Ovis aries: one gene and its partner. The protein of the gene in region 1 interacts with the protein of each later gene in a pairwise test. Links are inferred from orthologs where the notes say so. Each region holds a gene or a part of one and is shown in the gene's direction. Other genes may lie near its edges.

Region 1 (3,616 bases):
CTTTCCCCAGAACTGAATGATGGCGAGAGTTGTTGAGGTTCTGCTCCATGCCAGGCACTGCACATTCACTGCGGAGAACTCCTGCCATGATCTCAGTAGCTTGGGGGTGAAACCAGGGCTCAGAGAGGTGAAATCACTTGTCCAAGGTCACCATGAGTAAGCGGCAGAACAGTGTGGACTTGAACCCTGACGCTGGTGCCGGGGGTTGGGAGGATGGGCATCTGGGATGACGGGGGACACAGCACCAGACCGCAGGATCATGCCTCAGCTCTGCACCTGCTCTCACCCCAGGGCCCCCTTCCCAGAGGGCAGAGACAGGTGGCAAAGGAAGAGCCCTGCCAGCATGGGGGACCCTGGGAAGACAAGTCTGGAAAGGAGCTTATTTAAGATCTTGAGGGGACAGTAATGCCCTGGGTGTGATCAGTCATGCAGGGCTGTTTGGAGGTGAGGCACTGACATGATGGGGGATAGTCACCATTTATGACCTGCCTGCCATTGCTCAGTGGTAAAGACTCTGCTTGTCAATGCAGGAGACACAGGAGATATGGGTTCAGTCCCTGGGTTGGAAAGATCTCCTGGAGAAGGAAATGGCAACCCATTCTGGTATTCTTGACTGGAGCAATCCACAGACAGCGGAGCCTGGTGGGCTACAGTCCATGGGGTTGCAAAGAGTCAGACAGGACTAAGTGAGCACACTGCTGTGTAAGGGGCTGGGAAATCAGAGATGACGTAGACGCTACTGTTGATTCTAGATGAGCGTAGAGTTAGCCAGGGCCGTAAAACCTAGACTCAAAAAATTGAATCTCAGGGAGGAAGTGACCGTGAGAGAACCCGAGGCCCTAAGAGGAGAGAGACAAAGGGAGAAAGTTATCCTAAGAGTGTGTGTTTGGGAAGAAAGAGAAAGAAGCAACTCTGGATCCTGGAAAGACTCTCAGGTTGGAAATTGAGGCTTGTGCTGGGCCATTGGATGGCCCTGGGCTGCCTCTGCTTTCACTGAGTGACTTGGGGCACACATACCACCTCCTTCTCAGAGCCTTGGTACACCATCATGGCATGCTTACTGATGTATTCTTCCCACTCTATTTAATCACCGCCTTCTCCATGTCAGGCACTGTACACTGCAGATTTAGGGCTGAAGACTACAGGCAAGTTTCCCTGCTTTGACAGAGATTACAGTCTGGTGGATTAAATATAGAATTCGGTGAGGCCATGAATATAAATTGCTTTGTTGGAAGCCCAACCTGCTGTAACCAAGAGCCTAGGGACTATAATTAGAACAAATGAACCTTAGCCTCCCCTGCCCTGACTTGCTGGGCGACCTTGGGCAAGTCCATTCACCTTTCTGGGACCCAGTTTCCTCTTTTCCAGAATGTCTCAAAATGACTCTGGGATCCTACAACTTTTTCCAGGTCCTGCACTAGCCAGGCCTGGGCCAACTCCATCACTGGAGTTTGAATCCTAGTCTTGGTGTCACTGGCTTCCCTGGTTCCGGGCCCTCAGAGAATGAAAAGAAAAGGATTCAGGACAGACAACCTCTGAGAGCTCGGGTTGTAGATATGGAGTGGGGTGGGGGGCTCCTGGGGCTGCAGGGGAAGACAGGGATTTCAGACCCCGCCTCGTGACTGATGACTCTTCTCCACTTCAGCCGGCCGCTGCAGAAGGGCAGCCACCCCATGTGCAAGGAGCATGAAGATGAGAAAATCAACATCTACTGCCTCACGTGCGAGGTGCCCACGTGCTCCATGTGCAAGGTGTTCGGAGCCCACAAGGCCTGCGAGGTGGCCCCCCTGCAGAGTGTCTTCCAGGGACAGAAGGTACTGGCCTGAGTGACTCCCACCCCAAGCCCAAGCCTGCTGGACAGATGATTCAGGATGTGGACTTGATCCCCATAGATCTGCTGAGCCGGCCTTTCAGGAATAGTCCCCCTGGAGGGACGTCCTGGGCCACAGGGAGAACTGCCCTTGCCTTCCTTGGGGAGATGGCAAGCTGAGCTCATGAGTTATACTTAGAGCCGGTTGAGGGCACCTGGGTGCGGCCCCAAGGGAGAGACCAGATCTCAGGGCCAGGTCACCCGGGTCCTCTCAGGCCATGACTTCTATAATCCAGTGTCGTTTGGGCCCCTGCTGCCCCTTCCTGTGCTGGTCCCCGCTCCCCAGATCCCCCTGCAGCAAGAGGCAGCCTTCTCCCTGGGTCCCTGGGCCTGCGAGAGCCCCACCACCCTGTACATACAGTAAGCTGTGGCTTCCAAGGTGACTCAGTGGTAAAGAATTCACCTACCAATCCATGAGACACAGATTCAATCCCTGGGCTGGGAAGATCTCCTGGAGAAGGGAATGGCAACCCACTCCAGTTTTCTTGCCTGGGAAATCCCATGGACAGAGGAGTCTGGTGGGTTACAGTCCCTAGGATCGCAAAAGAGTCAGACACGACTTAGTGGCTAAGCAACAATAACCCTTTTCTTTACTCTTTCCTCCCCTCCTTCCTCTCTTCCCTTGATCTTCTCTTCTAGAATTCTCCAACCTTTTTTTTTTTTTTCTGGATCCTTTCATTCCCAGAAACAAGCCCCTCCTTGGCCAGCACACTGCTGTGCATTTGGGGCAGCTCACGTCCCCTCTCTGTGCCTCCACTGTGATATGGGGGATGCAGTGTCTCTCCGGTGTTCTCTGCTCTGGACCTGAGCTGCGCCCCAGAAAGATTTTCTTTCTAGCAGAGAGGGGAGTGAGGGTGCTGTGTTGCTGCCACTCCCATGAGGGTGGGCCCTGAGACTATTTTTGTCTCTCCTCTCCTGTTCCCCCACCGTCCCTCCCATCTAGACTGAGCTGAGTAACTGTATCTCCATGCTGGTGGCAGGGAATGACCGTGTGCAGACCATCATCACTCAGCTGGAGGACTCCTGTCGAGTGACCAAGGTGAGGGGGAGCATAGCTGGGCCTGGGTGTTCGAGGCCTCCCAGGGCAACCTGGTCTCTGGGGTGGCTTCCCCATGGAGCCTGGGCCTGGAGTGTTCACACAGGGATGGTTGGGGAGGGAATGACTAATCCATTTATGCATTCACTCACAAAAGCTTCTTGAGGACAGCTGGATACCAGGCTCTGCCAAAGATGCTGAGGATGGGGTGGCGAGGAAGGCAGACCAGGTCCCTGACTTCAGGCAGTATCCCCTTCAATCATTCCCAGCATTTATTCAGGGAACTAGTAGTTCTTAGAGCATTGTTCTCCAGTGTGCTGTACACTAAAGCTTCTCAGACTTTAATGGGAAACTTGAAATCACCCTGAGATTTTGTTAGAATTCAAGTTCTGATTCAGTAGGTCTAGAAGGAGGCATGAGATTGTGCTTTTCTAACAAGCTCCCAGGATTTGCCCAAGTTGCTTGTCCATGGACCACACTCTGAGGAGCAAGACTGTAGAGGCAGAGGACCCTTTTCTATTTCTGCAAAAGCATCCATGATTTTTCATATCCCCTTGAGGTGGGGACCTGGGAATGACATGGGGGGTTGGGAGTGATCAGTGTATTTCTGATGGATAGAGTTGTGTGAGTATAGGTTCAGAGAAGGAAGAAGGATGTTATTATCTACGAGGGGCCCCCAGTCTAATGAGATGCTGCTATTATACCCAGTT
Region 2 (4,323 bases), on another chromosome or scaffold:
AAAATGCAATGTAGTCCAGCACTGGCCAGAACGTTGCCCCTCTAGTGTTGTTCAACCCTGTACTTTGTTCATCTTTAGCTGATGGGCCAATATGGCCACTTAAGCCACCCTCTTTCTCTGGATAGAGAAGAATCTGATTCCCTCTGGTAAAGCATGATTTTTTTTTTTTCCTTCTCAGCAACTTCATGAGCTCTTACCACCTCAGTAACGAAGCATTCACTCCCTCTCTGCAACTGAGGGAACCAGAAACAGCTTATAGAAGAGATTAAAATATTTTATCTTAAACAAATTAATGTTGTTACTTTTTGTCAGCTTATCTGAGCTAACAGGAAAGCATAATGAAGGCCTGTGATTCAGCTGCAGGCAGGGTGTCTGCCTGAGTGGGTCACACCCATTGGTCTCTTTTTTCCAGGAAAAGGAAAGAACCTAATAGTATTCACGATTTTTAACATTGTATCTGCTCAAAATTTGGCGGAAAGAAGGCAAGAGTTAACAGTTGCTTCTTAGATAACTGCTGTGATCACTAGGAAATGAGAAAATGCCTTAAGGAAAAATACAAGAAAAGCTCCAACAATATTGATTAAAATACACAAGGTTGAAAACAGAAATTCTTACTTTGGCAGAGATTATGAGATCTAACTTTATGACATTTCCTGATATGGTCAGTCCTGCACTAATATTAATACCTTCTATTCACTTTCTACTCTCAGGCACTCGCACCGCAGGACTCCAGTCCCTACTAAAGTCTTCACATGGCCTCTACTTGTCCTTTGTTCTAAACCCTAAGAACAAAAGGGCCTCGCGCTCCCCCTCCTAGCACACTCCGCCCTCCCGCGTTCTCCCCGCCCTCCCCTGTTCTACCCCCGTTCCAGTGTAGGAGCCCCTCCTAAGGCGGCCGGGACCTCCAACCATCCCATGAGTCTACATCCCCCACCCCACCCCTGACTGTTCGGTTCAGTCTTCGGGGCGTGCGCTGGGGCGGGCACCCGGGCCAGGGGATTGCTGCCCGGGGACCCATAAATCTGGGCACTATCTGGGTAGGCCAGAGCCACTCAGCTGGGGTGGCCTGGGCCAAGGGTCAAGAGAAGACCTGGTCCAGTATTCCAAGTTGGCCGCAACAGGTGGCCTGGGCGCCGGGGGGTCTGGGAGGGAGGTCTCCAGAGCTCCGAGGGCGGGTCCTCCCGTCTCGCCGCTTCCCCATTGGGCTCTGCAGAACCTCAATGCTGCGAGTTTTATTTTTCGTGTCCTTCCGCCACGGAATGTAGTCCTCCCTCAAAGGGCAACCTGATTCCCCCGTTCCGCCTCCGCCGCACTTCCTACTGAAGGTGACTGCCCGGCGAGGACGCGGAGGGGCGGGGCCCCGAGAGCCGGGAGCCAGGATTGGGTGGGAGGCGGGGCGGCGGAGGGATTGCGGCGGCCCACAGTCGGGATAACCTTGAGGCTAAGGCAGCGGATCTCCGCATTGGAGCGACGCGTCGCGAGCCTCCGGACTTGTGTGCAGTAGCAGCGCATCCCGAGCCGGAGCACGTCGGAGGTGAGCGTGGGGAGAGACTGGGCCATCGTCTCCCGGGGCAGTGCGGAATGCTGGCCCGCCTGCGGACCCAGGATGGCGCAGGGTCCGGGGCATCTTGGGCTCACCCGGTTGGGATCAGAAAAGAGGAGAAAGGCTGCTTGTGCCTAGGATCTCCTTCAAAGCCCCCAGCTCCCGCTTCTTCCGAAGGCAGACGGGTCAGCCAGCCCCTTTCCTGCCCCAGTCCCTGACCTCCCATCCCCATTCTGGTCCCATTCTCACCTCCCTATTCCTCCCTCTTCGACCTGGTCTCGCTCTCCTCTTCCTCCCTTTATTCTCCTAATTTGATAGTTTCCTTTCATGCGTCAGTCTCCCCCGTTTCCACTCTGCTCCTATGCCCGTCCCTTTCCCATCATCCTTAATACTCGCTTCTTGTTTTCAACCTGTCCGTGTCCCCCTCATTCTGATGCTTTCTTTGTAACTTCTCCTTGAAACTCCCCAAGCTCCGCTCCCCTGTTCCTCCTCCATTCAGCTGCTGTCCCCTTCTAGTACCTACCCTCATTCACGCGCTGGCTCCCGCCCCTCCCCCGCCTCTCTGGTCACGTCCGCTCCAGCGCATCCCTCTCCTGCGCACCTTCCTTCGCGCCACCAGCCTCCTCGCCCCTCCCCCTCTGTTCTGGTCACGTCCGCCTGCTCTCCGTCCCCGCCCCTCGGCCTCCCATCTCCTGCCCCCCCTTCTCCATCGTAGTTCCCCAGCCCGGGGCTGGAGTTCCGGGGTCAGTCCCGAAGTGCATTGGTCTGCGGATGGGCAGGCTGGCTCCCAGGCGGCCCGGAGATGGATGCAGTGGCGGCCGGAGGCGCAGTTAGAGGGTTACGTAACCCTTGGTCTAACCCGCTGCAGAGGAAGAAAGGGTGGCTGCCCAGTGGCGCGTTCCTGTTTTGTGCCGCCCAGAATACGATAGAGCGGCCGCAGCGCTCCGCTTGCTCCGGGGGGCGTTGGGGGTGGGGGCGGTGCCCCGGGCTCCATCCCGCCGAGGCGGGGCTGCACGTAGCGGCGCCGGACCCGCCCTGCCGCGCCCGCTCCTCGGCTTCAGGAAACTCTGACCCTCGGGCCCGTTACCGACCAAGCATCATCTCCGGCCCGACAAGCTTCTGGATGCTGCTCAGAGGCCTCCTCGAGTTCGAGGCACTCACCTGGCTCCCTGCCTGTGCTTCACGTTACTTAACAGCGTTGCCTAACAGATGCGCCCGATTGTAGAGCGCGGAGGCCGCGGGTTGAGGAGAGTAGAAATATATCAAGAGCTTGGTGCCACGTACACACGCTCATTCATTAAAAACTCGTATAAAGAGTTGTTTGGGGGAGGGCTGTGGAGACCAGACCAGATTGACTAAAATCGTCCTAGCCCACAGAGCTCAGTCCGATTAGGAAACGAATGTAAAAGTTACCACTGATAAGTGCCGTGAAGAAGGTACACGCGGGCTTCCACACGTGGAGGGTACGCACTTCCTGTCGGGGTTTAGGAGGCCTCACCAGGTGGCATCACACGGGGTGTGATGAAGCGGAAAAGCACCTTCCAGTCTGAAGATTATTTGAAGACTCAGTAATGGGTTGGCATCTCTTGTCTTCTTATCTATGTTCTTCAAACCCGGGACACTGACCCTCCCCCATACAAATGAGCCTGATAACTGAGGTCCAGACATGACGGACAGAGGCAGTGGGAAGTTGAAAACAGGCTTTCAGAATCAGGTTTAACTCATTACATACTGATAGGAATAATAGGGGGAATTCAGCCTCAGGACCTGTTTCCCATGTGAAAATTGTAACTATTTTCATCTTGGGTGTTGAAAGGGTGGGTCGCTATATACATACTTAAACATAGATACATATTGAGTGTCTATACAGGGTGCAGTGTCTAATCTCTGGTGCGATGCCTCCAGATGTATTCTTTTGGTCACTGAGCCCAATGACTTCATCTATAATTGAACTCGAGCGCTCCTCTTCTTGCTGCCATCCCGAAACGGTCATAGTTCATCTTTGGGAGTCAGGCTGTATGTAAATACCAGAGATCTAGAAACCAGTCGCTCAGGAATCCTGCTACAGTGTTGGCAAAGTAACTAACAATGTTACCTTGCTACTCTCCACTTGCAACAGGGGCTTTTTGGTCCTCCAGCCAAAGGAAGGCAAGAAGGGAGATGGCTTTCAGCCTTTGGTATTATAGCTTTTGGCTATAAGATTAGAAACAAACTTGGAAACCTAAAACTAAAATCTTCAGGTTCTATTGGCACCTACTCCAGGTAGCATTCTGGGATTTGCTCAGCCAGCTGGTGTGAGATTAAGATAAGAGGCAAAGGACAGTAGCTCCTTGTTTGCTGTCTGCAGGGTGTGGCCACTCCCTGGGGTGTAGAGGAGGCTCTAGGTCGGGACTCTACAGCATTGTTAGCAAATAATTCACCCTCAGGTTGCCTGAGGATGCTGTTGGGAATGCAGGGGGAGCTTTTCTGAGGGGAGGAGTATGTAACATCACCAGATCTGTGTTGGGGGTGGGGTGGGGGAGGATGTAGGGAAGATGACTCAACCTTTGAATTTTTCCGCTTTTAAGAGAACTGTCTTCGTTGGGTGAGTGGGGAAACCACTGTCGTCTTTGCAGGCTTAAGAATCCCCTCTCCCCTTTCAGTGAGTCAAATAGTGAAGTATGCATTCCTCCCAGTTAAGAGCACCTCAGCTAGGTGACGATAGTGGAGGCCCCCAGGCTCTCTGGACAGTGCTTAATTGCCACGTGGCAGAGCCTCAGGCCCCAGTGATAGTCTGCACC

The links.
Region 2: the proteins of TRIM63 (region 1) and PKM interact in a two-hybrid assay, tested with the Homo sapiens proteins (3 studies listed by BioGRID and IntAct). The link is inferred for Ovis aries from reciprocal best matches to the Homo sapiens genes TRIM63 and PKM.

Annotation. Positions count from the first base shown.
Region 1 is NC_056055.1:240,762,779-240,766,394, forward strand, and holds part of TRIM63 (E3 ubiquitin-protein ligase TRIM63), read left to right. Parts: intron 1-1,645; coding exon 1,646-1,814; intron 1,815-2,813; coding exon 2,814-2,909; intron 2,910-3,616. UniProt on the Homo sapiens protein: E3 ubiquitin ligase. Mediates the ubiquitination and subsequent proteasomal degradation of CKM, GMEB1 and HIBADH.
Region 2 is NC_056060.1:19,006,360-19,010,682, reverse strand, and holds the start of PKM (pyruvate kinase PKM), read left to right. Parts: upstream 1-1,459; 5' UTR 1,460-1,534; intron 1,535-4,323. UniProt on the Homo sapiens protein: Catalyzes the final rate-limiting step of glycolysis by mediating the transfer of a phosphoryl group from phosphoenolpyruvate (PEP) to ADP, generating ATP.